Linked DNA regions of Struthio camelus. The protein of the gene in region 1 interacts with the protein of each later gene in a pairwise test. Links are inferred from orthologs where the notes say so. Each region holds a gene or a part of one and is shown in the gene's direction. Other genes may lie near its edges.

What was found.
Region 2: the proteins of EGFR (region 1) and PDGFRA interact in binary tests that used the Homo sapiens proteins (3 or more experiments, as listed by UniProt). The link is inferred for Struthio camelus from reciprocal best matches to the Homo sapiens genes EGFR and PDGFRA.
Region 3: the proteins of EGFR (region 1) and PIM1 interact in a protein complementation assay, tested with the Homo sapiens proteins (3 studies listed by BioGRID and IntAct, with this or other methods). The link is inferred for Struthio camelus from reciprocal best matches to the Homo sapiens genes EGFR and PIM1.
Region 4: the proteins of EGFR (region 1) and STAT2 interact in a protein complementation assay, tested with the Homo sapiens proteins (3 studies listed by BioGRID and IntAct, with this or other methods). The link is inferred for Struthio camelus from reciprocal best matches to the Homo sapiens genes EGFR and STAT2.

The regions. Positions count from the first base shown.
Region 1 is NC_090943.1:60,447,672-60,454,704, reverse strand, and holds the start of EGFR (epidermal growth factor receptor), read left to right. Parts: upstream 1-3,851; 5' UTR 3,852-4,162; coding exon 4,163-4,307; intron 4,308-7,033. UniProt on the Homo sapiens protein: Receptor tyrosine kinase binding ligands of the EGF family and activating several signaling cascades to convert extracellular cues into appropriate cellular responses.
Region 2 is NC_090945.1:56,953,959-56,961,485, reverse strand, and holds the start of PDGFRA (platelet-derived growth factor receptor alpha), read left to right. Parts: upstream 1-4,392; 5' UTR 4,393-4,438; exon of another isoform or gene 4,439-4,556; 5' UTR 4,557-4,585; exon of another isoform or gene 4,586-4,592; intron 4,593-7,527. UniProt on the Homo sapiens protein: Tyrosine-protein kinase that acts as a cell-surface receptor for PDGFA, PDGFB and PDGFC and plays an essential role in the regulation of embryonic development, cell proliferation, survival and chemotaxis.
Region 3 is NC_090965.1:4,863,862-4,871,504, forward strand, and holds the start of PIM1 (serine/threonine-protein kinase pim-1), read left to right. Parts: upstream 1-4,497; 5' UTR 4,498-4,715; coding exon 4,716-4,797; intron 4,798-4,926; coding exon 4,927-5,033; intron 5,034-5,143; coding exon 5,144-5,194; intron 5,195-5,307; coding exon 5,308-5,674; intron 5,675-6,690; coding exon 6,691-6,867; intron 6,868-7,167; coding exon 7,168-7,325; 3' UTR 7,326-7,643. UniProt on the Homo sapiens protein: Proto-oncogene with serine/threonine kinase activity involved in cell survival and cell proliferation and thus providing a selective advantage in tumorigenesis.
Region 4 is NC_090969.1:444,198-451,694, forward strand, and holds the start of STAT2 (signal transducer and activator of transcription 2), read left to right. Parts: upstream 1-4,361; 5' UTR 4,362-4,401; intron 4,402-5,107; 5' UTR 5,108-5,201; coding exon 5,202-5,332; intron 5,333-5,426; coding exon 5,427-5,577; intron 5,578-5,654; coding exon 5,655-5,753; intron 5,754-5,828; coding exon 5,829-5,921; intron 5,922-5,998; coding exon 5,999-6,077; intron 6,078-6,187; coding exon 6,188-6,273; intron 6,274-6,348; coding exon 6,349-6,497; intron 6,498-6,568; coding exon 6,569-6,727; intron 6,728-6,806; coding exon 6,807-6,959; intron 6,960-7,080; coding exon 7,081-7,101; intron 7,102-7,233; coding exon 7,234-7,327; intron 7,328-7,451; coding exon 7,452-7,497. Other genes in the region: protein timeless homolog, read left to right, coding at 1-43, 123-291, 379-447, 519-637, 719-860, 954-993, 1,164-1,249, 1,485-1,600; APOF (apolipoprotein F), read left to right, coding at 2,304-3,329. UniProt on the Homo sapiens protein: Signal transducer and activator of transcription that mediates signaling by type I interferons (IFN-alpha and IFN-beta).

The DNA.
Region 1 (7,033 bases):
AGCATGTTCAGATCTTATTCCATGCAGTCATATAGAGATGTATGATTTGTGGTTGAGAAAGAGAGTTAAGGCAGCACAGTAGTATCCGTGTAAGTCACCCTAGCAAAGTACAGAAATAAGCCAGAAGCTTGTTTCTACACAGGAAGCTACTGTGATGCTTAGTAGAAAAGATCTTGCAGATCGTTTACTCCACGTGTGCCAATTGTTATTCTTATATTTACTTTTCTGTTGCCTACCTCAGTTAGTGAATAAGCTGGTGCTGCAGATCCCTATTCACAGTTTAAAACATTTAAAAATCTGTTTCTGAGTGAGGCAAAGCTTCCCTGGAAAATGCAGCATTGACACTGACTAAGGAAACTGAGGTGACAGGTAAAACCTGGGTGTAAAAATGATAATAATAATAAAAGTGTAAGAACTCTCCTGAGATAATGCTACGGTCACGTGTTGAAATACTGGATGGATTGATGGTGGAACTTACTGTAATTAAGGTTTAACTCCAGCATCCGTGTGTGTATCTGTCTCGTCCTTTACACACCACTGTACAAACAAACAGTGGAAGAGAGCAAGAATCGGAGTATTTAAACAAAAAAAATCTACATTTTCATCAGGGAAGTTCTCTAGCAGCAGCCTGATCTGGGGAGATTCAAACACAATAGCTGGAATAAGCAGCTCTTGAGTGATAACCCCAGTACTGCCACTAATACTCCGCCCAAGGCAAATTATTTTACATCTATAAAATGGAAATGATAGATACTAACCTGCCTTACAGGAGATTTGTGAAGATAAATTAGTTAATGTTTATGCAATGTTTTGAACATGTCATGCCATAAAGCTCAAAGAATTATTACCTCAGTGAGGACTCTTAGAATACAAACTGCAACGCAAACTACAATGTCCGCAATCTCAAATACCATGCAAATGAAACCTGAGCAAGCCAGATTTAAAAGCCCTGCTAATTCAGCTCTGTCTCATTTCTTTTCTTCCGAGAAGAGGCCTGCCCTTTAAAATCACTTGTGCAAAACGCAGGAAAGAACAGCAGTGCCATCCGCGAGCAGTTGCTTATGAATTATTTTGGAGGGGCAAATGCCCCGTTTATCAGTGGATAATTAAAATCTATCCTTTTTTGGTTTTATTCAAGGAAGAAATCAAGCTGCAGGGACGACTTTGCTCTTGAAAGGATTTTGAGACTTTATTCTGTTTTGAGAGAATGTGGAAGGGGGGGACAGGAAAATTGATCCCACTTTTCCCACTTTTTCCACCAGTAGGGCAGTCAGTGGCTCTCCCTCTGTTGGCTCCTGCTCTCCGCGCGTGGCGGAGAGACCAGCTCAGCAGCACGGGCCGCAGCTGGGGAGCAGTCGCGGTTCTGCTCTCCCATCCAGCAGTATCCGCATGTGAAGGAACTTTCTCTTTAGCTGGACTTTACTTCCTATGTCAGTGCGTTTATGCTTCATATCTGGAAGATAAGTATACAATACAAAGCAAGTGAGTCCCAGAAAAGCCGAAGAAAGATTTTGCGTTTAGTATGATATTCTCACTAGGTAATATTAATTTAACGCTAGTTGTCGAAAGGTCGACCTTTGTTTCGTGGCCGTAGATTCATGCACACATGCAGCTGGTATTTAAAGTTTTGCAACGCGAAGGAATATTGCATGCCCATGCTCAAATTTGCGTAGTGACATTAGCCTCAAAGGAGTTATATCAAATGCAATCACTGGGTACGTGACCAGCTTTTTGGGAAAATGTCATATTTAAATTTAAACTGTTCCAGAAATTGTTCACTTGTGTAAATAGGAAACAGCAGAAGGCTTGAAAGACTCGACCGTGATCATAAGCATCCAAGTCCTCGGGTCTTACAGTCCCTACGTTATCTTGTGACTCTCACAAGTAGAGGACAAATGTCATGAAAATAACACATTTGGGCTCAAACAGGTGGGAAGACAAAAGTGATGGCAGCTTGCTGCACAGCCCCGTCAGTGGTACTGCAATGCCAGCATCAGACTAGATTTTCCTATAGTGAATTTTTAGAGGGTGGGGAAGAATTTAAAGGGGAATTTGCTGAGTCTTCCCTTGCCCATCATGTTCAGTTTTACATGGAGTCACATAAGGACAGCTCATGATGGGAGGCAAAGTGAGTATGACAGATTCCTGCTCAGAATGGCAGGTAGAATCACAATTGCATGAAAAATTCTTCAGCAAAAATATTTGTACGTTAGTATGTTAGGACTGGACTTTGACAAGTTTTTCCATTCAATTCATACATCAGAGATGGGGTTTTTTTCCTGTCTTGAGCTCATTTTTCCGTTATCACTCTGGTGATATCACTCTGAACTTTCCTTTCTCAAATGTAAAAAACTCCATTGCTTTCAACAGTTGTGTCTTGATATAATATATTTAAAGACACATGTTTTTATTTAATATTTGTCTACAGCACTGATTTGAGGTTTGTTTCTATTGTGTCTTAATTGTACGTCCTTATAATGAAAGCTGCAATCTTTAACATTTTTTGAGGTTGCTTTTGCAGCCCTCCCTCCTGAGAAGCTGATTTATTTTCCTGGGCATGTAATTTTTAAAAACCCTCCTATTTGTCCAAATAAATGAAAATCAATTGTATACATGTAATAGTTATGAGGCTGCACTGTATGAGCATCTTTGAAGGAAACAGCATGAATGTTGTATTGATAGATCAAATGCCGGCATCAGTTACAGCCATGAAACCAATCACATGAGTAGAGTTGCTCCCATGTTACCAATGCATGAATTTACTTCAAAGAACTTCTTTGCATCATTTACAAAATACAATCAAAACAGATTGTCAGCTATAGCATGCAAAAGCTGCACGGCGAGAAACTCAGTTGTAACCCAGTTTATCTTAATAAATCATTACAGGTGTGATGGGACACATGGTTAAAGGCCTCTGCTCAAGCATGTTTTTTGTGCTAATATAAGTAAATGGGACAGTTTTTCTATGTCTAGTTGGGTCAGGAAGTAGTTAAACTATCAGGAAAAGATAGTGCAGAGGAAGTTGCCTGGCAGGAGAACAGTAATGCAGCACAAAACATGCATCATCGGGGAAAGTCAAGATACACTCAGTGGCTCTTTTGCAATCTATTGTGTTCCAACACGTTGTGATAGACAGAGGCATTTAGCACATCATCTCCCAAACCCTGTGTCATTACGGACCTCGGTGCTGGAGTTCCCAATTAATCATAGCAGTTCCTGGGCTTCCTATCCTATTGCCTATGTGACTGAAGACCTCAGTCTTCGCAAGAGCGTTATGAAGAAATTAGCAACAGCATTTAACAAATCTGGAGGTTGACTCAGGAGGTGGCAGCAGACTGACTTGACTCGGGGAGATCCCGGCCGGGACGAGTGCCACTTCTGCGTCCCGATTTACACGCCTGTCTGACGAGACGCTGCTTCCTCCCGGTTTTGGGGAAAGGTGTTGGGTTAAAACCAAGACGCTCTAACCACAAGCATATACCACTAAATACTGAACAGCGTGCTTTGCCCTCCTGGGACGGGGTTGGGGGGTGGGGAAGGAGGGAGGAGAAGTCCGCATAGGCGCTTTTGCTTCGTGTCCGTGAATTTCGCCGGAGCCCCCGGGGAACACTTGTGTCCCTCAGCCTGTTTGCTCAGTAACTTCCTCCGCGGAGCGACTGCTCGCTGCCAGCGCCAAGGGCGCGGAGCGGGGCCGCCCCCTGCCCTCGCCCCCCCACCGCGGCACAGGTGGCGGGGCCGCCCTTCCCCACCTGGGCGGGGAAGGCGCCGCCGGTTCCTCCTCCTCCTCCTTGCTCCCGCCCCATCCTCCTCCTCCTCCTCCTCCGCGGCGTCCCCAGAGGGAGCCGCTGCGCTCCGCGGCCGGGCGGAGAGCGCAGCCGGGCGCGCCCCGTCCCGCAGCCGGCGCCAGCCGCTCCGCCACCCCGCGCACCCGTCGCTGCCGAGGACGACGAGGAGGAGGAGGAGGAAGCAGGAGAGGAAGGCAGGCAGGCAGGCAGCGGGCACGCACGTGTGCGCGCAGCCCTCGACGGCGCGGCATGCTGCGGGGAGCAGCCGCGGAGCGGGGCTGAGCGCGGCCGCGGCAGGAGCGGGGCAGCTCCGCGGAAAGCTTCTCCGTGCGCTCCAACCGCGCCGCGCCGCACCGCGGGAGCGGCCGTCCCGCAGCATGGGCGGCCGCAGCGCCGCCGCCGCCGCCGGGCCCCGCGGGGCCGCTGTCCCGGTGCTGCTGCCGCCGCCGCCGCTGCTGCTGCTGCTGCTGCTGCTACTGCTGGGGCGCGTCGCCCACTGCTCCGTCGTGGAGGAGAAGAAAGGTACGGGCCGCGCCGGGGGCGCCCCGGGGGCGGGCGCGCCGCTGCCTCCCCTTGGGAGCGGCGCAGGGAAAGTCCCAACTTCTTTCCTTTAAAAAAAAAAAAAAAAAGGGAGAGAGAGGAGGAGGGAGAAGAAAGAAAGAAAAAAAAAGCAAACCTATAGCAGCGATCACGCAGTCTGACTTCCTGATTCTAGGCTTATTTTCTTTTGTGGGGGTGGAGGAAATAAAAGGGAATAAACCTTGGCACATCCCATCGGTTGTACTTTTTTTCCTCCTTTGCCTTTCCCCCCCCCTTTGCTTTTCTCTTCCCCCCCCCCCAATCCCCTTCCCGCGTTGCCCAATCGCTCCGCGGAGCGCGCTCCGGGCCGCCCTGGCTCAGCCGCGGGGCGGCCGCCGGGCCCCGCTCCGCACCGCACCGCCCCGTGCTGCCGCCCCCCGCCGGGGCCGGACCCCGCGGAGCGGCGCGGGGGCTGCGCGGCCGCGCCGCCCCCCTGCGAGTACCGCTCCGGCAGCCCCCGCCCGCCGTCGGGTCGGTCGCCTTGACCTGGCGTCGCTGCTCGTCCCGCAAAAAGATCCGCACCTGGGCGGGCGGGCGGGGGGAGGGGGGAAGGAAGGTAGAAACAGGGAAAACTTCATGTTCTTTCTGTTTCTGCCGGTTAAATAGGAGTTATTTATCCCGGTCCCTCCCGGCCCGACCTGGCCGGCCCTCCCTCGTCCCGCCGCGGCGTGACCGCCCGGCTCCGCGGTGCGTGGGAACGGCGCGGAGCGGGCTGCCGCCGGCTCGCCGTTTTCTTTTTTCCTTTTTGGAGAAACTGGTTTAGAGGGTGAGAAAACGTTTCTGGCTGATCAGATCCGTCGCTTTTTCTCTGTGTGTGGTGTTCCCTTTTGTGAGTTTCAAGAGCAGGCCCCGACTGCTGTTCCAGGCAGAGTGCAGTCGTCTTTATCTTGGAAATCTGCCAGTAGTGAAAAAAGCAGATTTTTTTTCCCTTTCTTTCTTTTTAAATATAAAGCGGGAGAAGGGAATTAATAGTTTCTGGAAAGGCTGCATGGCTTAAAACAACTGAATTAGTCTTTCATGACTGTGGACGGAAACATACCTTTCTAAAGCGCTAGTTGCACAACCTTAAAAAAGTCAAGAGATTCTCTTGTTCCAGCAATCAAGTTCATACCTGTTGTTGATGTAATGCAGGCAGTTTTTCTTTCCTTCTTTTCTTTTTTTCTTACGCTCTTTGAAAATGATGGGAAGCAAGCTGACTCCCTCTGCTGAGCTTGTGCTAAGTCTTTTGAAATGCAATCTCAGGTGCGTATGCCCTGTAGAATATGTAGATTCTGAGGAGGAATATCTTGTTTATAGTGCTTGATACTGTATCTCATAATATGATGAGGGTACCGGTTATTTGAGGATTGCTGGATAGCCAACAGCCAAGTGATAAACCCGCTAGAGTTTATTCTCAGTATGTTCTGTTAGTAAATAACTGTATGAGAAGAACTTGCAGCTCAATGACAAAGATGAAGGCAGAACAAAGTCTTCAAGAAGCCTGAATTAATTGATTGGTCTTTATTGCTCCCTACTTCAGCAAGAAAGTAAGTCAGTGGTACATAATCAAGTTGCATTTGAGAGTGATGAGATACCACAGGTAGTGGACCATCCACATATGTCTAGACTCTACCTCCTGGGTCAAGCGATAGGATCCCAGCATCAGAATTTGGCATTATTTTGAAAGTAAACATGCTGTAACAAACCTGTGCCGTGCTGACAAGCTACAAGATAAAATTCTGTTGCTACAGGAAGTTCAAATGACATAGGAATTCATACTTTTTGAAACTACATAATTTCAGCCTGATTCATTCTATTGCCCAAAAGAGGAGATACCTCAAAGAAATAGTGCTGGTGCACAAATGTTATTCTTGTCAGAAGAATGTCAAAATCGCCCCATAAAATCTGATCAATATAATATTTGAATGGAAATTTAAATACAGTTGTGTCTTTTCCCAAAACTTTAGAATGAGATCTTTGAATATGGATGAGAGAAAACTAGTTTAGCTGTAACACCCTAGTCATTAAGATATTAAAAAAATATATCCAAAAGCAAGTGGTGGTGTTAGAAATTGAAATAACACTCACAAGCATCAATACCTGCTGTATATGCTCTAATGTTGACCCAGATTAATAATAGTGGAACTAATCTGGATTTCCTTTCATGTACTCAGGATGGCCTGTTAAGTGGTACCTAAGATAAATACCTGTGATAGCAGGCATGCTGCTTATTGCAGAATGCACATGACCAATGTCCGTTTTGTGTGTCAGTGCTCAGTGATAACACTGCGATTGAAGCAAAATGGTTTTTGTTGGGGTTTTTTTATCGTTCGCTTGGATCTGTAGTTACAGCCACTGTGGGCCAGGAGCGCACTGCTGTATGCTGGGAGCATGCGTGCAAACGCGCTGGGCAGCTCCGTAGCTGCAAAAGTTCTCTGGTGCCTTTTTGTACCTAATGCTTTATACTGCTTTTTGAAAAACAAAGGGAAAGTAGATTCCTTAAGGGTATTGAAATATTCATGTTCACATGAAGTAAAAAACATCCATCTGAGATTCTGTGCAGTGTTTACCTATGTGCTACGTGTGTGCAATGTTGTGTAATGCTGCCTCTGGGATTGGAGGTTCTGCGCCGTATGTTGTATTTCATCCGTGTTTACGACAGATGCGTATTCATCCCAGAGGTGAATACA
Region 2 (7,527 bases), on another chromosome or scaffold:
TGAAAGCAAAAGTTGCGGCTCGAAGTTGCGGCATCGGCGGCCTTAGTGGGAAAACGGCCGGCGCAAGGAACTACCTTAAACAACCGTGTGGTGAATCAAAATAAAGGTAGGGGAGGGGAGGCTGGGAAACGCGGGGCTAGCCGTTAATTTCTTTTGTCTGGCTCACTTCTCTCCCGGTGACACGAGATCCCTGCTATTCAGCGCCAAATTCTGTTGAGCAAACAGAATGAGCGGAGCTGCTGCTGCGGAAAGAGAGCAAGAGCAAGCCCGGGGGGGGCCTGTGAACGCGCGCAGGTCCGCGGGGGCTGCCGGCCCGGAGCTGGCTCGGCTCGGCCCTCCCCGCGCTCGCTCCCCTCCTGCCACAGGAAACCCTCGCTGCTGTGCTCTCCTCCCTCGCCGATAGACGTGTGCACAGATTTATAGTGACAAGCGAGAAGAGGCCGCGCAGCTTTCTCCCTCTCTCGGGGTTTGATGAGTTTCTGCTCCAGATTGGAGCCACTCTTGAAAACGCAGGGGGCTGCTTGTTTTGGTTTGTGTTGGTGTTGGGGGAACAGGCGGGCCGCCGGGGGGTCTCCATGCCCCCTGCCGCGGTGGCCCCCCCGCCTCCCTGCGCATCCGGGAGCCGCTCGTTCCCCGGAGCTTGCAGGAATCAGCAGGCAGGAGAGTCTTTGCCCTCTGCTAAAGAAGAAAACACTACTAAACTTTTTTGGGGGAGAGGGGGAGGAAGACATTAAAAAAAAAAGTGAAAAAGGTGACCAGCCCGTGGATGACCCATGCAAATACAGCCTGGCCAGCATAGGGCTATTCAATGTATATACACCATAAGGGAAGCTCAGCGTTTTACGGGTCCAGATTAGCAGCCCTGCGTTCACGGACCTTAGAGAAGGCAGGCGGGAAGAGCCGAGCGAGCCCCGGGAAGGGCCGAGGCCCGGCCCGGTGCAAGGCGGGCGGCCCCGGCGGGGTGCGGGCGGCCGGGGCTGGCAGGCGGTTTCAGCACCGCGCATCAAAGTGAACGCTGCGAAGGCTTGAACATGGGTAACAATAATCAAAACCAGACTTTCCTTCCCACCACCACAAAGGCTGAGTCCCCACGACGGGGCTTTTTTGCAGGGCCCGGGGCACCCCGCCGGCCGGGACGGCAGCACCGCACTCCGCGCGCTGCAGAAGGAGGTAGCCGCTCCCGCGGCCGCTTGGGGTCCAAATTAACCCCCTATTAGCCTGCCTAATAGCCTGCAGCTAGTTAAACTCAACCCAGCTCACCCTTGGGAGAGAGCTTCAGGAAGGGGCTCATTATTCGCAGCAAATTGGGACTCCTCCTGAGGGGCTGAGCAAGGCCTCTCGCAGGCTCCCAGCCCCTCTGGAAAAGTCCGAGACGGCAAAGAACCGCCCTGGAAAAAGGGGGAAAACGCAGCTTTCCTCGGCCCCGTCGTTGCCCTCGGGCCGGACCCCTGCAGGCGCTTGGGCCTGGGGGAAGGAGCTGCCCCGCCGGCCCGCGCCCACCCCGGAGGGCACGTTGGGAGCGCAAACAGGCGAGAGCGGCTCTAGCCCGGACGCCAGTTTTGTTTAAGACGTGCAGCTTCCATCTGTTGCCACATAAACACACGCTAGCAGGATGCCTTACGCTCCAGCCCCCTATGGGGGGAGGAGAGGAGAGGAGACAGACTTGGGGGTAGCAGTGGTGAAAATCCCCCACCCCCAGCCTGTCCTTTCAGTAACCCCAAGTCCCCCGCGCCTCCCTGGACGGGACCCCCCTGGGCCACACGGGGCGGGGGGAGCTAGCTCCGGAGTCGTCCTAAACGCGTTTATTTGAAATACCACCTCCCCTGCTCGGGACCAATCCATAGGCACCGCCAGCACTTCGGGGGGGGAGCGGCCCAGCTGCTTTCCTGCTGCGGCCGACCTGCCCTTGCAGGCGGCTCCGCGGCCCCTCGCCCGACGCCACGGTCGGGGGCTGCCTGCGGGCCAAGCCCGGCGAGGCCCCCGGGGGCCGGGGAGGGCTCGAGGGTCCCTCCCGCTGCCGCTCCACTGGGAGAAACCCAGTGCCCGCCTTGCCCGGGGCACAGCCTCTCGCCCTGCCGCCAGCCCGTCCCCCGGCTCCCCTGCGCCTTGCGGGGTCTGCCGGCCGCGGCGGGGGACTCCTCGCCCTCCTCCTTCCTCGGGGGGGCGGGCGCGGGGCCGGGGAGCCACGTCGGGGGAAGCGTCAGCGCTGCCCCCGGAGCCGTCCTCGCCGGCCCAGGAGGGGCTGGGGGACGGGGACACCGCCTGCCCCGTCCCCTGTCCCTGCGGGAGCCGGCGGGCTCCCCGCCCGCAGCGCCAGGCTGGCCTAGCAGGCAGCTTTACCAGTCCCGAATTTGCAGTTTTGTATTTTTTGCTCGGTCCTGTGAGATGCCACATGGAAGCCGTTAACGAATGCTCGATAATGATCATGACAAAAGCATTATTCAAATGAGGCAGGTAATTGCAACCAGAAGGCGCGTTCTCCCCTTCCTTTTCCTCCTTTCTTTCTGCAAGAGTTCCTCTCCCATTACTTCTGATCCTGACGGTACTTCGCCAAGAATCACCTTCATCGCTTTGCACCTTAAACCAGATACACTTACGCCGATAAATCACAACCAAACGAAGCACGACCGTGCAGAATGTCCTCAGCGCTCACAGGGAGTTGTTGTAACCGATTTGAACTTTAAATCTTCGTGGCGCTTAAATCTGCGCGAACCCAGAGCCCTGATCAAATTAATGATAGGGTTTTTCTCCTCCAGCCTCCACAAATTACCGGGGTCGAGGCTGCTGTGTTTGCTTGCACCCCGAGGTAGATAATTCCAAGGTGCAGTGACTTTTTGCCTTGCTTTTTTGCTCGCTTGGAGCCTGTTGTTTATTCACAAGCATTACGGTATCCTGTTAGCATTCCGAACAAGGGGCTGCTCACAGATCTGACTCCGATGATTTCCTGGAGGAACATGTGGAAGCAATAGCGGGGTTGTGCACTCACCAGGCTGAGGATGCACTAGTGGAGAGCACGCAAAAGGCTGTGAGCACCACTGGGGACCCTGCAAACCCAGCCACTGGGACCTCAGCTTGAACATGCTTTTCACAGGAGTTGGTTCTCGTTTCTGCCCCCATTCCCTTCAGGGAATCTGCGCTTCAGAGGCTTAATTCTCCTTCTGTTAGGAAGGAGAAAAAAAGCACTGGATCCTGCTGCTTGACTTTGAGAACAAACTTTTCTTTTGTGCAACGCTAAACGGAAGAAAAATAAATAAATAGAAAAGCAGGCGCAGGAGGGAGGGTGGGCGAGCCGCGGGATGGGGGGGAAGCAGGAGGGAGCGCGGGGCGCAGCTCCGGCGTCGGTGCGGCTCCCCGGGCGGCGGCGGCGGCGGCGGCGGCGGCGGCGGCGGCGGCGGCGGCGGCGCGGCGCGCTCCGTTCCTGGGGCTGCACTGCCCCCTCGCCCGCGGCCGCCGCATCGCCCCGCCGCCAGCACCGGCGCCGCGCCGCTTTTCGCACGGACTCTCCAGAAAAAGGCAAGAGCAGCTCCCTGTGAACTCCCACGGCTACCTCTTATCGGCAGCAAATAGCAAGAGCCAACAAAGAAGAGATACCCGACTCTCCCCAGCGGGGATCAAAGCTCTGCCCAGAGCGTATTCAAACAGGACCCACTCAAACGTGCGCAGCCCTCGCCTCCACAGGCACCTCCAGCCCTCGGCAGTGCCCCGTGGCTTGGTTATTACTGGGTTTTGTTTGCGTGGAGCAAACCAAAGGAAGAGAAGAGTAGAAGAGCTTTCCCGATCCCGCCAAAGCGCCACGGTTTGGTGTGGCTGGCTCCTTGTGAAGGTTACCTTTCGTTGTGTCTTTCATTCATAAATATTAGAGATTCGTCTCTCTCCCTCTCTCAGTGCTTCCTGCTTCTGGCTGCCACCCAGCCGTCCATGCAGCTCTCTCTACCAAGCCCATGCTCAGTAGTGTACAAAGGACATGAGGAAGCTGCACATTCGTTTCCCGATCAAACTCCTCATCCATAAACTCACACTGTGACCGCGGACACCGAGCCCGGCGCCCGACCCACCTTCCTAGAGGGTCTGAGGAGGAAGGCTCATTCATGACATTGGGAACACTCTGAGTTTTCATGAAACTTTTTTTTTTTCCCCCTGCAGTGCAAAACTCTCCGATTCCCCCTTTCCTCCCCCTCGCCCCTGCCATATGGCTAACCTCCCCCCTCCTCTGCAAGGCTGGTGAAATCTGGAGGCTGAGACTGGCCCCCCTGCCTGCGTAAGAGCCCGCCGCCGGCACGCCCGCCTCCGGCCGCGGGGCTGGGGGCGCCGAGCGCGCCAGCGCGGCTCTTATTCTGAAGGGGCCGGAGGGGGCTTAATTTCCTGACAGCTATTTACTTAAAGCAAATGATTAGTTTTGGAAGGATGGACTATAACATTGAATCAATTACGGGACGCGGTTTGTGAGCCCATTACAGTCGGATCTGGAGGGAGGGCGAGCGGGAGGGAAAGAGCGCGGCGGAGCGGGGAAAGTCACAAAAGACGTGGACATATTTTGGATATTTTACAATCTGCAGGATTGTAACTGCGGATTACAAAGGAGAAGGTACGAGGTGAGGGAGGATTTTCCCACTTTTTTTTTCATCTTTTCTCCCTCTTTGTTGCTGTTGTCGTTGTTTTATGTTCCTCTCCCCCCCACCCACCCCACCCCCGTAATTTATGTGTATTTATGTGGGCTTTTTTAATGCTCTGTCGGCGGAGCCCCGGTGCGGCTGGACCGGGCGGCGGACGCCTTCCCGCGGGGCGCAGGCGGCGGCGGCGGGCGCTGGGGCCCACGGCGCTGCGCGGGGCGCGGGGAGCCGGCGCTGCGCGGCCGTCGGGGCGCGGGCGGCGAGCAGCGCGGGCGGCGCTAATGACAAACACATTGGGGCGGCGGGGGCCACCGCGCCGCGCTCCTGCCGCGGGGGCCGTAGCGCCCCGACGGGCTCCGCGGGCTGCTGCGGTGCCCGCCCCGGCGGGGACGGGGCCACAAGCACCGACAAAGCGAGGTAGGGTCGTGGCCAGCCGCTCTCTCTCTTCTCGCAACCCGTTTAATCCCCACCTCTGCCCTTGCTTCCTTCGCCCCCGCTGCTCTCCGGTCCCTTCCCCCACCCTTTGTTTTTCACCACCTTCCCCTCTTTAGAACCCCCTTCCCTGCCTAAGTCCCTCCGACCGGGTAGTCTAAAGAGCCTGAGACCCCGAGGAGGGGACACACAAACACCCCCCATCCAGGCAAGCCCATCTCCATCCTGGCGCGCCCCGTCTTTTTTACACGTCTCGGCGGAAGGGAAGATGCTGAATTCAGGCAGCCCGACTGGTACCTGGAGGCTTTCCAGCTTACAGCCCCGCTTACAACGGGAACCCAGCCCCGCTCCTCCCTACCAGACTCCCGAAGCCCACCGCCTTGCAACCCAGGGGAGGGCAGAGTCTTCACGGCCACCGTCTGGATTTTGTCAAGCGCGGAGGTTGCAAATTTGCCAGCTTCTGCCAGGCTGGAGTCCCCTGGAAAGCCCTAGGAGCAAGTAGGAAATGGCTTTTTGGCTGTCCACAGCATTGCTCAACATTTTTGGATGGCGATTCAGCAGCCCAGGAGCCGTTCCAGAGAACAGGACTTGGACAGCTTTTTCTGGAGCGAGCAGCGACAGATTTCGCGAGGCAGCAGCAGCAGCCCCCGAGCTGCAGCAGCCAGCCCCTGCGGCTTGCCCACATCCCGGAGGACCGCGGGAGTGCCTTGGCCACCCCCTGAGCCCTGCGCATGCTTCCCGTGCCCCTTGACGGCCTTTTTGGTGCATCTCTTGCAAATCCTGCAGCCTCCTGGCACACCGCTGGCACCCGGACTCCACCAGCCGGCATGGACCGGCATCACCGCAGGCTGGGTCAGGCCTGACGGACACGGTGCCCCTGGCGATTCCTGGCTGCCCCTGGACCCCACGGGCAAGTGTGTGCAGTCCTCCGAGAGGGTGCAGGAAGGTCCGTGTCTTGCCTGATGGAGAGAGCTGAGAAAAGAAGCCCGGAGCTCACCTCAAATCAGAGTGCCAACCATATTTAATCAGCTCTGGAGGGAAACGCATGTTTGCTCTCCCCTTCCCCCCTTATCCCTGTCGCCCTTTTCTTTTTCCTGGCTACCTCATGTGAAAAAATTTGCTCCAGCTTGGCAAAGGCTTTCCTATTGTTTCCTAGACAAACAGTGGTGGGCTGGGAGCTGCCATCTCTGCTAGGTTTGCTGGGTGTCCCAGGCAGCCTTTAGTCACCCACGGTGTAAGCAGTCAGAGCCTGGCTCAGCCGAGGAGCCGTGGGCACCAGGAGGCCCCGGGAAGTGGCACTTCTCCCGCTCCCTCGGGGCTTCTGGCTCTCTGCGAGCCAGACTGGGGCTGGCAAGCATCGACACCCCACGGTGGGGGCTGGAGAGCGTGAATGCACCCGCTCCCAAACTGAGCAGGCTGATAGCCTGGGTGTCCTCGGCTGTGAGGCAGGAGTGCTGGAGCAGCGGGACCCGCTGTTCTGGGCCAGCCTTGCTCCCCTCTTGCCACCTTTCCCCTGGTTCCCCTGTGCTGCCAAGCAGGGCTGGGGGCACCTTCAGGCACCCCGAGGCATCCAGGGAGGTCCCGTCCAGGGCTGATAGAGCCCAGCTGGGCTCCCGCCTTCATGTGTCGACTTGGCGTCCCTGGACGGGGCAAGAGACAGGATCTGGCAAAACGAGGGGACAAGCATCAAAGGTTCCTCTGTCAGCGGCTGGAGCAAAATGTGAATTGTACAGATCCGGCTTTTAATTATGGGTCTAGAAGTGAGAGGAAGATCTCCCAGCAAGGGACTTCACTTTTAGCTTCCAGTAAACAATGGGCGTTTTAGAAAGGCCCTCTGCTAAACAGTGGTTTAGTTAACCTTCCTCTCAGAGCTTGAAAAAAAGTTTAAAGAAAAATGAGGTCATACAAAGCACTGGGATTTAGGAGTCCGCAAGTAAAACAGCTCTCCCAGCTTGCAGGCAGTCACTCGTCGCTTAAAACGAGACTCCTTGTTCTGGTAGTGCTCTGTAGACATCAAGGGGGAGAAGGTGTGCCACACTGGCAGTGATTGGGCACTGGGGCCACCTTTCTTGTTATTTGCTGCTCGATATATGGAAGATTGTTGAGAGTAATATACATGTATTAGGTTTCAAGAAAGCGGGAAGTAATAAATATTTGAATAAAATGCCTCTCCACAATACTACAGTATCAAGCTAGGATTTGGGTGTCATTTATATAGGCCAAAGAAGACTTGCATGCTACAGACCTTGTTGGTAATTGCCAACTACATCACCTGGTGTAAAATGGAACATAAAATGGATTATTTTATACAAGTCTTGCCTTGCTTGTATCCTTTGTTCATCATGGCCGCAATGGCACTAGTCCTACATGTGAACTCCGAAAACTTTAATAGGATATGTTTACTTCAGTTGTTTTAAAGACCAGGGCATGACTTCTGAGAGGTCATTTTTCTATTGCTGACAAGAATTGATGATACTTTAAAAGA
Region 3 (7,643 bases), on another chromosome or scaffold:
CCGGAGAAGCGCAAGGCAGGTTGCAAGCAGGATGGGGTTTGCTTCATGTTACTCTGAACCTCTGACACACGCTAATGGCATCAAGCCGGGACCAGCAAAGCCCAGGCTGGAGGAAGGGAAAGGCAAATCCGGGGGGGGCCGAGCACTGGGTGGAAAAGTGCCACCGGTTTGGGAAACGGAAATGTTTCTGGGTGGCTCGTTCTGGAGGGGGAAGGATGCAACCGGGAAGGACAGAGCGCCCGCGAGCCGGCTGTTCCCGCGGGCCGGCCGTTCCCACGAGCCGGCCGTTCCCGCGAGCCGGCCGCGTCCGCTGTGCGGGTCCCGGGAGCGCCTCCCCGTCCCCTCCTGGGTGCCGCCGTCAGCGCGCCCCAGGCCTCGAGGTGTCTCCACGGTCTCGTCTCCCAGGCGAGGGTGGTTTTCCCCGATCCGGAAGGGCTCCCCGCTAGGCTGCAACCGCCTGGGTGCCGGTAGGACGAGGCGCCCGCCGACTCAGCAAAAATGAGCGCGCGGGTAGGTTTGCGCGCGCGTCGATGATTTGGCCCCCAAATCATCTGGGTTGCAAGACGACGCTGCTCCCTCCGACGCTAATTAGCAGCTTGGCCGGCGCGAGGAAGAGGGATGCGCCTGCCTGCCGGCTCCGGAGGAGGTCGGAGGAAGGCAGCCCCTAGGAAAGCCCTGCCGCTCCCCCGGGTGTGCTCTGTTTGTAAATAAAGAGCCTCCGTTTCCAGGGCAGCCCGTTGGGCACCTTTTCATCATCACGGCGGCAAGGAATTTGGTCATGAGTTTTGGGGCCAGATGCTGAGTCACTTCGCCCCGGTGCCGAACGTTGACTCACGTAAACCAGTCGCCTCGAACCTGCCCAGGCTTCGGGTGGGAATAACGCCGGAGAAACGCGTTTCCCTGCCCTCCTTCTCCTCCGCCTTGAGTTTGCGTCACCCAAAATAATAATAATAATAATAACACTAAAAAAAAAAAAGCAACACCCTTCCCCGCACACAAGAAGGAAAGGAAAAAGAGCTGCTGCGTCAGGTTTCTGCAGACTTTCCCGAAACCAAAATGTCACTTTCTGGGCAGAAACCAAACCCCGGGGGACAGGACGGGGCGAGGGGGGAAGGGGGCTCGAGCCCCCTTGCAGAGCATCTGCAGGGCCCAAAAGGCGCAGGGCGGGCGCGGGAAGCGCCCTAGGGCCCGCAGCGGCCAGGCACCCGCTCCGGCGTCCGTCCCGCGCCCGACCCACGGGGACGAGCAGAGACGCTCCGGGAAAGAGCATCTCTCCCGGCCCGGGCGAGAGCAGCAGCCGCTCGGTGCTTATCTTATTGTGGGCGACTGTTTGCAGATCGATAGCGCTGTTGGGGGGGGGGGGGTTAACTCAGCAAGCGGCCGAAGCAGCTGCCTGTTGTTGGGTGTTTTTGGTTTGGTTTTGTTCTGTTTTTGTGTTGTTCTTTTTTTCTTTTTTTTTTTTTTTGAAGAAAAACTAAGAGAGACCGGCGCTCACCAGCATTTCCAGTAAAACCCATTAGATTTCAGCAATTCATTCCACAAGTATGTGTGGGATGCTGGGAACTCCTCGGTCTCGCGCAGGCACGGGAACCCAGATGGGCTTCGTCTGTAATAATTCAGCTCCCAGTGGCTGGAGCTCTTTGCTCTAAATGCTAATAGAGTGAGTAATCAGAAACCTACATCCAGTAAATTATTTATCTTATCTCTGGAACTCGGCAAAGCATTTCAGCCAGCAACTTCTGTGGAAAAAAAAAAAAAAACCCAACAACAACCACCCAAAAAAAAGGCTGTTAGTCAAGAACCCCCAGCTGGAATCTCCACTTTTACTAGAAAAGGGAAAAGTTCAGGCACCGTTTTGCTTGTGGGTACTAGGAAGCGATGAAGTAACGACAATAACGGCGCGAGGCGAGCCAAACTCTTCAAAAAGGGGGCCTGGGCGATGCCGGCTGCTGCCGCCAAATAGCCCTTTAATGCCAAAAGTCCAAGCTGCCTTTTGGGATGTTTCCATGGATTTGGACCAGGAACGGAAGCACCCACGTTGCCACAGAACAGGATCCGAAACAGGCTGAACCGCTCGCGCCACCGTCTTCCACCGGCTGCCAATAAAAACGGCGAATCATCTTGCACCGGCCCCGCCGGGACGCGGCCGGGGCGCAGGGGGCCCTATTCCCACTTCACCGGTGGGAGAAATTGCAACTCCTCACATCCACCCGGCGTTTTTTCCACCGCTGCCCGGAGCGGCCGTGTCGCAGCGGCGGCAGAAGCCGCTGGGGTTTTTCTTTTGTCACCTCCGCACCCCGCCGAGTCGAATCCCCCAAACTACAGTCGTCCGGCCGTTTGGGAAACCTCACGTCCGGCGAGGAGCAAATCCTGCTGCCAAGGCCCGGAAGGGACGGGTCCCATGTGGTGGCCCCGATGCCCCCGACGGAGCTGCCGGGCACCTCCGTCCGCTTTGGCCCCACTCGTTGCTTTCACCCTTTGCGCTTCTCCCGGCCGGGGCTTAGTCAGCAGCGCCCGGCGTTGGCAGCCGGTTTCACTTTCGTGTTGATGCAACCTGCCATTGCAGCGAAGTGTTTGTTTGGAAAACAGCTGTTCCTGCCCCAGCTTGCATGTAATAAAAATCCGGCGGCGAGATTTCGGGCGGCCCTTCGGAGCAGAGCCAGCGCGGATCCGGGGGCCGCGCGCGCGGGGTGCGAAGCGCGAGCCCCCGCTGCCTGGGCCGCTTCAGGTGAAGGCCGCTGCGTGGAAAACATTGTTTTTAAAAAGGAAATCGCATGTAAAAGCTTTTTTTATTTTATCTTCAAATATTGTTATTTATTTATTTATTTAAAGCAGCAGTTTACACACGCGCGCGCTCACACCTGCAGGGATATGAGGTACACCCAAGTGCACGCACACAAGCGTATGCTGCTGTACGGCCGCACACGCTGCCTGCAGGTATCCATGTGCACACATACCCTTCCCCGTGCACACACACACACACACACAGCTACACATACACACAACCATGTATGTATCGCACACGTGTCCAGAGTACCCGTGTGCCTGTCACACACACACACAATATCCATGTGTCACACAGCCTATTGGGCATGCAGTACCCCCGTCCCTCACACACAACCTGTCACACACACGGTACCCCCATCCCTCACACACAACCTGTCACACATGCGGTACTCTCATCTCTCACACAGCCCGTCAGGCACATACACAGTACCCCCGTCCCTCACACACAACCTGACACACACGCGGTACCCCCATCCCTCACACACAACCTGTCACACATGTGGTACACTCATCACACACACAGCCTGTCAGGCACAGGGTACCCCCGTCCCTCACACAGAGCCCGTCATACACATGGTACCCCTGTCCCTCACACACAACCTGTCACACATGCGGTACCCTCATCTCACACACACAGCCCGTCAGGCACAGGTGACCCCCCACACACACACACACAACCTGTCACACATGTGGTACACTCATCACACACACAGCCTGTCAGGCACAGGGTACCCCCGTCCCTCACACAGAGCCCGTCATACACATGGTACCCCTGTCCCTCACACACAACCTGTCACACATGCGGTACCCTCATCTCACACACACAGCCCGTCAGGCACAGGTGACCCCCCCCATCCCTCACACACAACCTGTCACACATGCGGTACCCTCATCTCACACACACAGCCCGTCAGGCACAGGTGACCCCCCACACACACACACACACAACCTGTCACACATGTGGTACACTCATCACACACACAGCCTGTCAGGCACAGGGTACCCCCGTCCCTCACACAGAGCCCGTCATACACATGGTACCCCTGTCCCTCACACACAACCTGTCACACATGCGGTACCCTCATCTCACACACACAGCCCGTCAGGCACAGGTGACCCCCCCCATCCCTCACACACAACCTGTCACACATGCGGTACCCTCATCTCACACACACAGCCTGTCAGGCACAGGGGACCCCCCTCACCCACAGCCCGTCACGCAGGCCACCCCCCCGCAGACCCCCCCCCGCGTGTGCGCTCACACAATGCCCCCACGTCAGCCCGCCGCCCCCCACCCACCCCCGTGGCGCCTCTGTGCCCTCACAGTGGCCCCCCCTCCCCCACCCCGCACGCGTCGCCCCGCGACGGGAGCCCGGGCGACCGCGTCCCCTCACGGCGCCCCGGACGCAGCCCGCGGCGGCGACGCGCGCGCGCGGTGCCCGCACACAATGCGCGTGCCCTGCCCCCGCTCCCGCTCCCGCCCCCCCTTTGGCGCCTTTTCCTTCCCGCCACGTCGTGGCCCGCCGCGGCCCCTCCGGCGCGCGGGCCGCGCCCGCGGCGGCGCCCCATTGGCTGCGACGCGCCGGGGCAGGCGGGGCGGCCCCCGCGGCGCGGCGCGGCGCGGCCCGACGCGGCGCCGCCCCGCGGCTCTCCCCGGCCCGCCCCCGCCCCCCGCTACTCCCGCGGCCGGCGCGGGGCCGCCGCGCCACACGGGAGCCCGGCAGCGCGCGGAGCAGCCGCGCCGCGCCCGCTCCCGCTCCCCGCCTCCGCCCCCCTCCGCCGGCCGGGCTCTTCGCCCCCTCCCCGCCCGCCGCCTCCCTCCCCCCCCGCGTCTCTGCCCGGCTGCCGGAACCGCGCCGCCGGCGCCCGGTGCGGTTCGGGCGGTGCCGGCGCCGGTGCCGGCCCTGGAGCCGGGCGACGGGGAAGGGATGCTGCTCTCCAAGATCAACTCGCTGGCCCACCTCCGCTCGGGGCCCGGCGGGGAGCTGCATGCGGCCAAGCTGCAGCCAGGTGAGGCCCGGTCCGGTCCGGTTCGAGCCGGTCCGGCGCGCGGTGGCGGGGAAGGGGGGGGGGGGGGATATTCGTCCCGGTTCGGCTCGGCGCCGTGGCGGCGCGCTGACGGCGCTGCCTCGCCCGCAGGCAAGGAGAAGGAGCCGCTGGAGAAGCTGTACCAGGTGGGCCCGCTGCTGGGCAGCGGCGGCTTCGGCTCGGTCTACTCGGGCGTCCGCCTCTCCGACAGCGCCCCGGTGAGTGGCGGGGGGGGGGGGGCGGCACCGGGGGTTGGGAGAGGAGCGTGGAGGGGGGGGGGGGCCGGGAGGGCGCCGCGCTCAGCCCGCCGCTGCCCTTTGCCTTGCAGGTGGCCATCAAGCACGTGGCCCGGGACCGCATCTCCGAGTGGGGCGAGCTGGTGAGTGCCGGGGGCGCCGGGGGGTGGTGGTGGTGGGGGGGGGATGAAGGGGAGGGGGGGGCGGGTGCCGAACCGGCGCGGCCCGGCGGCTGACGGCGGCCGTGGCCCGGCAGCCCGGCGGCACCCGCGTGCCCATGGAGATCCTGCTGCTGAAGAAGGTGGGCTCGGGCTTCCGCGGCGTCATCCGCCTCCTCGACTGGTTCGAGCGGCCCGACAGCTTCGTGCTGGTGCTGGAGCGGCCCGAGCCGGTGCAGGACCTCTTCGACTTCATCACGGAGCGCGGCGCCCTGCCCGAGGAGCTGGCGCGGGGCCTCTTCGGCCAGGTGCTGGCGGCCGTGCGGCACTGCCACAGCTGCGGCGTCCTGCACCGCGACATCAAGGACGAGAACATCCTCGTCGACCTCGCCACCGGCGAGCTCAAGCTCATCGACTTCGGCTCCGGCGCCCTCCTCAAGGACACGGTCTACACGGATTTCGACGGTGAGCCCGGTTTGCAATGCTTCGCACCCCCCTTCCCCCGAACCCCCGGCTTGTTGCCGGCTGCGCTGCAAAGTTTTTATTTGATTTATTTTATTTTATGCTTGATTTTTTTTTTTTTTTTTTTGTCGCGGGGTGCGCGTTGGGAAACGGGAGCCGGCGCTTGGCCCTGCCCGGACACCCAACCTGCTGATCCGTGTGGGGGAAGCTGGGGGTGGTGGGGGGGTTGGGGAGAGAAGGCAACCCTACAAAAACAAACAGCCGTTGTGAGGGGAGGTTGCAAAACCCGGGTGCGAAGCCCGTTTGCTCTGCAGCTGCGGAAAGGCTTGGGCTGCTCCGCGCCCCTTATTTGCCTTTTTATTTTTTTCCCCCTGCATGGGGGGGCGGGTTTTTCCCCCACCTCCCATGGGTGCTTTATTTTATTTTATTTATTTATTTATTTATTTATTTATTTTGCATGTAACGGTCGGGGCCCCGGGCCTTCCCCGAGCCAGTGCTGCCCCCTTCCGGCACCGGCGGCTTTTTTTTACAACCTAAAGTTTGTAAACAAGAGTCACGTGGTGGCGGGCGGGTCGCACAGATCCCGGTGGCCCCCCCCTTCCCTCGGCCTCGGCGCCCGGGGGTGCCCGGGCAGGCATCTGCGCCTCTCCGGCTCCCCGAGGGCTTCGAGCGTGGGCTGCATCGCCCCACGCCGTGTTTTGCAGCTGGTGGCACTGGTGCAGGCGAGCGCAGGTCGGCGTTGCATGGGGAAGCCCGTTTGCTCCCCGCGCCGGGTCGGCCCCCGGCTGCCGGCCTCCCTTGCGCCCTGCCGTGACGCCGCTGTTGCTAAACAGCAGCTGGGAGGTATGAATGTCGCCCTCGATCGCATCTGCGAGGTGGAGATGCTGCAGCGTCAATTGGGGCGAATGCGACTGGAACCACCCTAATGATGTTCAAAACAAACGTTTCCTCCCCGGTGCCGGTGTGCTCTGAGGGATGCCGGCTCTTCCCGCGTGACGAGTCCCTCCGGTCTCTTGCAGGCACCAGGGTGTATAGCCCCCCAGAGTGGATCCGCTACCATCGCTACCACGGCCGCTCGGCGGCGGTGTGGTCCCTGGGTGTGTTACTCTACGACATGGTCTGCGGAGACATCCCCTTTGAGCACGATGAAGAGATTGTGCGGGGCCAGGTGTACTTCCGACAGAGGGTCTCTCCAGGTGGGCACGTGGTTTTTTGCATCAGGGAATAGCACGTGTTAGGAGATGATGCTGGATACGCAAGCGTCCAGCTCTTACTGGTTAGGGAGGGTTTTGATCTCTTCCTCGGTTAGCTGGAGGCTAGAGAAGGTGGGCGCTTGTCCTGCCGTCCCTGCCGGCTACCCTCCAAAAATGTTAGTTGATTGATGTATTTGGGTGTTGGGAGCAGCCCTGAGCACAAAGCAGGGCAATCCGGACAGTGACACGAGAGAGGCAGGAGTCTCGGGCCTTCCTAGCTTGACCCTTGGCTTCTCTCCTCAGAATGCCAGCATCTCATCAAATGGTGTTTGGCCCTGCGACCCTCGGACAGGCCATCTTTCGAAGACATTTTAAACCATTCTTGGATGCAAGGCGTCCACCTACCGCAGAAGACAGCAGAGATCCACCTGCACAGTCTGCTCCAGGAGTCTAGCAAATAACAGTTCCTTGCATCTCCTGGCTGTAAAACAATGAAAGAAAACAGAATTCTTCTTCGTGACTGTAGCACTGAGTGGGGATCGTCACATGGGAACATCTACATCTCATTCCAGAGCTAGACCAAACTGGAGAGTCCATCATCCAAGAGCTGGTGGCCACGATCCAACCCAGGTGTCCTGGACTTGAACTTAATGGTCCTGTCTTCCTTGATGTCTTGCCAGTCAACTTTTGGTGATGTTTTACGGGCGCTCCCACGAGTGTCCCTGGCCTGCTGAATTCGGGACTGTGAGAGGATCAGAGACATTAGAGCAAGGAAAGCG
Region 4 (7,497 bases), on another chromosome or scaffold:
ACTGTACAAGAAACGCAGGAGGAAGGGCCATGCCCTCCTGGCGGTAGGAGGGGTGTGCGGGAAGGGTGAGGAGGGAGCCTTGTCCCAGGTGGGTGCTGGAAGGCAGGGCTGGTCCTTGGTAGGATGAGATGGAGCCCTTGGGGGCACCCGCCCGGGACAGCTCAGCAGAGGAGGGCGACAGTGACGAGGAGGAGGAGGAAGAGGACGGTGCTGAGGAAGGCCCCATGGAGGAGCACTGGGTGCCTGAAGACGGGGCTGGGCAGGGACTGGCACAGCGTCTGAGGCAGGAAGGTGAGTGGGGGCTGAGGCTGTTCAGGCCTCTGGTTTGCGTTTGGCTCCGGGAGGATGGATCCTGTCTGGCCTTCTCCGTGTCCGCAGGCCTGGCTGGGCCTCTGCAGTGGCTGGAGAACTACTTGAAGCGGACGGCTGGGGACCGCGAGGAGGACGGTGAGTGGGAGCCTGGGGCTGGGGGCCGGGGCCGGGGCCAGGGCCAGGCTCACGGCACTCTCTGTGCCCAGGCGTGTCCCACCCGGTGCCCTTGGTGCCGCTCTCGGAGGAGAACGAGGACGCTATGGAGGACAGGCGCTTCCAGGCCCTGCTGCGGAAGCTGGGGGTCCGGCCCCCTGCCAGCGAGCAGGTGAGACCCCCCCCACCACCACCACCATGCCCCCCAGGCACGGCGTAGCCCAGCCCTGCAGCATCTCCCCTCTCTACCCAGGAGTCCTTCTGGCGCATCCCGGCCACCCTCACGCCCCAGCAGCTCCGCCGTGCGGCTGCCTCCCTCGCCCGCCAAGGACCTGAGCCCGAGGGATCCCCGGGACAGCTCTCGGCACCGCAGCATCCCCAGGGGCCAGCTCCAGGTGAGGGGCCGGGACAGGGTGGGGGGAGCTGGGCTCAGGGCTCTCCCAGCGACGGGACCAGCCCTGATCCGCTCTTTCCCTTGTCCCTCTCAGCAGAGCAGCCACCGGCTTCGCCGGGATCGGACTTGGAGAGGTGAGAAGGGGAGCTCTTGCTAGACCCCTGCCCCAGACACCTGGGTCTTCTCCCAGCTTGGGGGGGGGGGGCAGACTCCTGGCCTCTCCCCGTGTGGTGGGGACAGACCTGTGCCCCTGGGGCTGGGCAGCGCAGCGTCGGCCTCTTCTAACCCGTCGCCATCGCTACAGTGCTGAGCCGGGCCCGGTCCCGGCACAGGCGGGCACCAAGCGGAGGTGGCAGGTGCACAGTGACGACGAGGACACTGCAAGCCTGGGTGAGCTGCGCCCCTGCTTCTTGCATGTAACACAGCACCTCCCTGGGGGGCTCGCAGCCCCCCACCAGGGCCCAGGGGGTCTCCCACAGGGCTGCTGCTGGGTGATGCTCACCATGTCCCTGCCCCCCAGAGCGTGGGGCTGGGAGGAAGGCTGAGTGCAGGGCTGGGCCCCCACCCCAGGCAGAGTATGGTGCTGGGGGTCCCGGCCCCCACTGGACCCCCTCTGCCCCTGCAGGTGCTGGGCCAGGCCCTGCTGGGCCCTGTGTGGAGGAGGATGAGGTGCTGCAGCCCCCCAGCAGGCGGAAGCGGGTTCGCCGCGTGGAGGAGGAGGAAGAGGAAGAGGAGGACTGAAAGGCTCTTTGTGCCCTGCCCAGACCCTCAGTGTATCCCAGCCCTGCAGGGAGCAGGGGGCTGCGGGCCCTGCTCCCTGTGGGCTTCCTTGTATTTAGTTTTCTGCTTTTTCTGCAGGTTTTTAAACTAGTTTTTAAGGGTGGGGTGAAAGCAGGCTCCCACTGTCCCCCTCCTCTCCCCTTCTCATGTCCATCTCCGTGTTTTTAGTTTAAAGGTTGCTGTTTCTCAAGGATGTCCTTTTCTTTTCTAATGCCACCTTTTAATGGGGAAAGAGACCAAATAAAAAGTGCAAATCTCTCCCTGACTTGGATGCCTTCGTTCCCATGGGGGGAGCACTGCCCCATCCCTGCTGCGTCCCCTCCTCTGTCCCACCGCGCTGGGTGGAGACCTCTGTCCCCTCCCACCCCTCTGTTCCGGGAAGGTGCCAAGATGCTTGCAGGATCGGGCCCAGCCCCCAGCGTGTCGCAACCGGCCCTCGATAAGGGCCCAGGCAGGGGCTATAAAAGGACCAGAGAAGGGGGTCGGCCACAGACACGCAGCGGCTGTCCTGCGGGCTTGGGGACGCGAGCATCGGCAGTGGGTGAGCGGGGGCGCTGGTGGGGCTGGGGTGGTTGGGGGGGGGGGGGGGAGCTGTGGCCACCGGGAGCTCATGGGCTCTGCCCCCTCCTGCTGCCTTGACAGGCTCTGCCGGGAACGACCTGCCATGCGCTGGGCTCTGCTCAGCCTCCTCCTCTGCCTTGGCGCTGCGGCCAGCTCCACCGTGCCCCCCGGGCCGGACGCTGCCGCCGCAGCTCGGGCGCTGCTGGCGCGGCTCTCCGAGCTGGGCCTGCCGCAGGCACTGCCCGGGGCCGCCGGCGTCTCCTGCCGTGACCTGCAGCCCGATGCCCTGCCCGGCTTCTCCCAGCTCCCGGCGCTGCCCCGCGTGCTGGCCCAGGCTGCCCTGGCGCTGGCGCTCAGCGAGGCGGGCTGCGGCCCCCAGGCCGAGGCGCTGGTGCTGGGGCTGTACCGGGAGCTTGAGGGCCCCACGGCTGAGGCCCTGCTGCAGGGGCTGGTGCGGCTCCAGCGTGCCCCGGGCAGCGGCCACCTGCCCCTGCTCTTGAGCCTGGCCCAGCTCGGCGCCTCCGTCCCCGTCCAGCCCTGCGCCGGCCTGACGCCGCTCTCCAACATCCAGCTCTGGGGCCCCGTGGCCAGCACCCACAGCCGCTTCGCCGGGGCCGCGAGGGCCTGCCAGCGCCTGCAGGCTGCCTGCGCCGGCGTGGCAGCCGCGGGGCCCTCCTCCTTCCAGGCCGTGCGGCGTCAGGGCGCCCAGGTGCTGCCGGCGCTGGGGGCCCGCTCCTGGCTCCAGCGGTGCAGCCGGGCGCCCCGGGGCCGGAGCCGGCGCTCCAGCGAGGACATCTGCAGCTCGCCGGGGGAGCAGGAGGTGCACAGGATCCTGGAGTGGGTGCCCAGCATCAGCACCTTGTACAACCTGGGCACCAGCCTCTACTACGCCTACCAGGGCTGCGAGGAGCTGGCGTCTGAGCGGGCCTTGGAGGCGGCCGTCGACCTGGGCTACGACAGCCTCACGGCGCTCAGCGCCGCCGCGGGCGGCCCCGTGGCCTACGGCGTCCACCTGGGGCTGCAGCCGGGGCTCAAGGCCAGCGTGCGGGCCCTCATCTGCTACTTCACCTCGGACGGGGACCCCCCGCCGGCCCCCACGGCCCACGCCGGCCCTGTCCTCCTCGTCTGAGCCGCCAATAAACACCTGGCAGCGCCTCTGGCTGCGTGTGCGTGCGTGCATGCGTGCGTGTGGGGCAGGCCACGATCAATGGCTGGGTCACCCTGCCCCGGGGCAAGGGGAACTTGGCCCGGCCCGCGCCAACGGCAGGGCTCTGGCCCCTGCCAGCCCTGCCTGCCTGCCCCAGCAGCGCCGCCGCGCCGGGGTGGCTGGGGCAGCCGGGCTGGCCCCATAGCCCTGGCCCCACAGCCCGGCCCTGGCCCCACAGCCCTGGCCCCACAGCCTGTTCCTGTCCCCATGACCCTGTCCCCATGGCCCTGGCCCCACAGCCTGGCCCTGGCCCCACAGCCTGTTCCTGTCCCCATAGCTCTGGCCCCACAGCCTGGCCCTGGCCTCACAGCCCTGGCCCCACAGCCTGTTCCTGTCCCCATAGCTCTGGCCCCACAGCCTGGCCCTGGCCTCACAGCCCTGGCCCCACAGCCTGTTCCTGGCCCCATGGTCCTGTCCCCATAGCTCTGGCCCCACAGCCTGGCCCTGGCCTCACAGCCCTGGCCCTACAGCCTGTTCCTGGCCCCATGGTCCTGTCCCCATAGCTCTGGCCCCACAGCCTGGCCCTGGCCTCACAGCCCTGGCCCCACAGCCTGTTCCTGGCCCCATGGTCCTGTCCCCATAGCTCTGGCCCCACGGCCTGTTCCTGGCCCCATGGTCCTGTCCCCATAGCTCTGGCCCCACAGCCTGGCCCTGGCCTCACAGCCCTGGCCCCACAGCCTGTTCCTGGCCCCATGGTCCTGTCCCCATAGCTCTGGCCCCACGGCCCTGGCTCCAGGTCCCTGCCGCCGCGGCCTGCCCCCAGCAGGGCGCCACCATCTTCCCCCTCCCTGCCCCGTTAGCCCCGCCCCCCATGGCCCCGCCCCCCTCCACACGTCATTTCTGGGAAGCGGGCGACCCCGCGGGAAGACTTATCTCCCGGCCGGGGGGGCGTGGCCACGGCGCCGCTCTCCGCCAATGGCTGCGCAGAGCGGCGAGGGGGCGGGGCCACGGAGCCCTCCCCGCCCCGTCCCGGCAGTCCGCGGAGGGGGCCGAGGTGGGAGCGCAGCGCCGAGCACCGGGCGGGGGCCGCGGGGGGCGCCGGGGGGCGCCGGGGGGCGCAGGGAGCCCTCTTTAGGGGGCGTCCCCGGGGGAGTGCAGGGTGGTCCTGCCGGGGGGCGTCCCCGGGGGGGTGCAGGGAGCCCTGTTTAGGGGGTGTCCCTGGGGGGGTGCAGGGAGCCCTCTTTAGGGGCGTCCCTAGGCAGGGTGCAGGGTGGTCCTGCCGGGGGGTGTCCCCGGGGGGGTGCAGGGAGCCCTGTTTAGGGGGTGTCCCTGGGGGGGTGCAGGGAGCCCTCTTTAGGGGGCGTCCCCGGGGGGGTGCAGGGTGGTCCTGCCGGGGGGCGTCCCTGGGGGTTGCAGGGAGCCCTGTTTAGGGGGCGTCCCCGGGGGAGTGCAGGGAGCCCCTGCCAAGGGTGCCCCGGGGGGGGTGCAGGGTGGCCCTTTGGGGGGTGCCCCTGGGGGGCGCAGGGAGCCCTGTTTAGGGGGTGCCCCCGGGGGGGGTTGCAGGGAGGCCCTGCGAGGGGTCCTTTGGGGGTGCTGCTGGGGGGGTGCAGGGAGCCGCTTTGGGGGGTGCCCTGGGACGCTCCCCTTGTTCTGGGGAGGGCTGCCTCCCCACCCCGTATCTCGGCCCCCCCGAGCACGCCTGTCCCGGGCCGGGTCCCAGCCCGACGCCCTCCCTGGCTCACCGCTCCCCGCCGGGCCAGGACCGGGGCTGCCAGCGCCTGCACGGAGCCCCGGGCCGGGGCAGGGCCCGCGGCTGAGCCGCCTGCCGAGCGAGCGGCCTCGCCTGGCCCCAGCATGGCCCAGTGGCAGGAGCTGCAGAGCTTGGCCAACGCCGCCCTGGAGCAGGTCGACCAGCTGTACAGCAGCGTGGCGCTGCCCATGGAGGTGCGCCAGTGCCTGGCGGCCTGGATCGAGGACCAGAACTGGTAAGGGGGCGGTGGGGGGGGGGACGGGACGGGGGGAGCCCTGGGGCGGCGGGAACCGCGCCGGGTCCCCGCTGACCCCGCGCGGGGCCGGCAGGCGCCAGGCGGCCGAGCCGCTCTCCTCCCACGCCCGGATGCTCTTCCACTCCTTGTTGGCGCTGCTGGGCGACCAGCTGGGCAGCCCGGGGCTGGGCGACGAGGACTTCATGCTCAAACACAACCTGCGCAAGGCCAGGCGCGACCTCCAGGTAGGCGGCGAGGCTGGGCTGGGGGGTCCTGGGGGGGCTCCGCACCCTGCTGACCCCCCCCTCCACCTCATCCGCAGGCTGCTTTCGAGGAGCACCCGGAGAAATTTGCCAACCTGGTGGCCAACCTGCTGCAGGAGGAGCAGCGCATCCTGCGCCTGGCGCACGCGGGGCAGCAGGTAGGAGGGGGGCCGGCAGGCGCCCCCCCCCGCCCGCCGGGCCGGCTGGTGCCCAAGAGCCCCGTGTCTCCGCAGGGGGGGGCGGCCCCAGCGCCCAGCGCGCCCCCGCAGAGCGACCGGCAGCAGGAGATCCAGCGCCGGCTGGCCGACTTCCAGGCGGCCCTGCAGGTAACGGCCCCCGCCGGCACGGCCACCCGGGCGGCGCAGGGCGGCACGGCCCCCCTCACCCCCCGCTCTGCCCCCAGGACGCCGAACGCGCCTTCCGCCACCTGGAAGACGCGCAGGACATGTTTGATTTCTGCTACAAGGTGCACTACCTTCCGGGTAAGGCTCGTTTGGGGTGCCCAAATCCTTCCTGCGACCCCTGCAGGCAGCAGAGACGCGGGGCCGGGGAGGGCCGGGGTGCCGGCCCCCCCTCACCCCTGACCCCCCAGGCGAGAACAGGACCAGCGATCCCGAGTACGCCAAGCAGGTCCAAGGGCTCCAGGCCAAGCTGCAGAAGCTGGACCGGAGCCGGAGGGTGAGCGGGGCCCTGAGCTGGGCGGGGGGCCAGGCCTGCCCTGCACCCCCTGCTCAGGCTCCCGTCTCCCCCCAGGACGTGCTGGCTCAAATGCAGCAGCTGCTGGGGCGCAGCGAGACCCTGCGGGACTTCCTGCAGCAGGAGCTGGGGGCCTGGCGGGAGCGGCAGCAGCGCGCCTGCCTGGGGGCCCCCGCCGACACCAGCCTGCTCCAGCTGGAGACCTGGTAGGGCCGGGCCGGGCCGGGGCTGGGGGCGCCGCGGCCGGCCCCCGCTGACGCTGCCGCGGCGCCCGCAGGTTCACGGCGCTGGGCGAGGGGCTCTTCCAGCTGCTGCAGCTGTTGCGGGCGCTGGGGGACCTGCGGCACAAGGTGACCTACGAGAGGGACCCGCTGCAGGCAGAGCCGCCCCTCCTGGAGACGCGGCTGCGGGAGCTGCTCACCTACCTGCTCCAGAGGTGGGCGCAAAGCCTGGGCGGGGGGGGGGACGCAGGGCTCTGGGGCGGCCCTGACCCCCCGCCGGCCGCTCGCCCCCAGCGCCTTCGTGGTGGAGCTCCAGCCCAGCATGCCCACCTCCAGCAAGCGCCCGCTGGTGCTGCGCACGGCCAGCAAGTTCTCCGTCCGCGCCCGCCTCCTCGTCCACCTGCACGACCGCAGCCACCACATGGAGGCCAAGATCCACATCGACAGGTCGGGCCCCCCCCCACACCCGGATGCATTCCCCCGCCTCCCCACAGAGGGGGGATTTGGGGACCCCCCAGCCTCGCCGTGGGGCTCCCAGGGCCCGCTGACGCCCTGCTGTCTCTTGCAGGGACCCCCCCAAGATCCGAGGGTGAGAGCTGAGTGCCGGCCCCCAAAGCGTCCCGGCTCCCGAGGGAGGATCCCGGCTCCCAGGGAGGATCCCAGCCCCTGCGGGGGTCCCAGCTGCAGCGGCCCCCACCCTTGGCCTCTCTCTGCCCCGCAGTTTCCGCAAGTTCAACATCTTGACGTCAAACAGCAAAACCCTGGTGGCGGGTGACGGCCCCCAGGACGGGCTGGTCTGCGACTTCCAGCACCTGGTACAGACCCCCCCGGACGCCTGGGTCCTCTTCCAGGCAGGGAGAGCGGGGCAGGGGCTCAGCACCCCCAGCCCGGCTCGAGCCCCCTCCCCGGGCCCTGGACTGACTCTCTCGTGCCCCGCAGACGCTGAAGGAGCAGAAAGTCAGCGGGTCGGGCAAGGGCAGCAAAG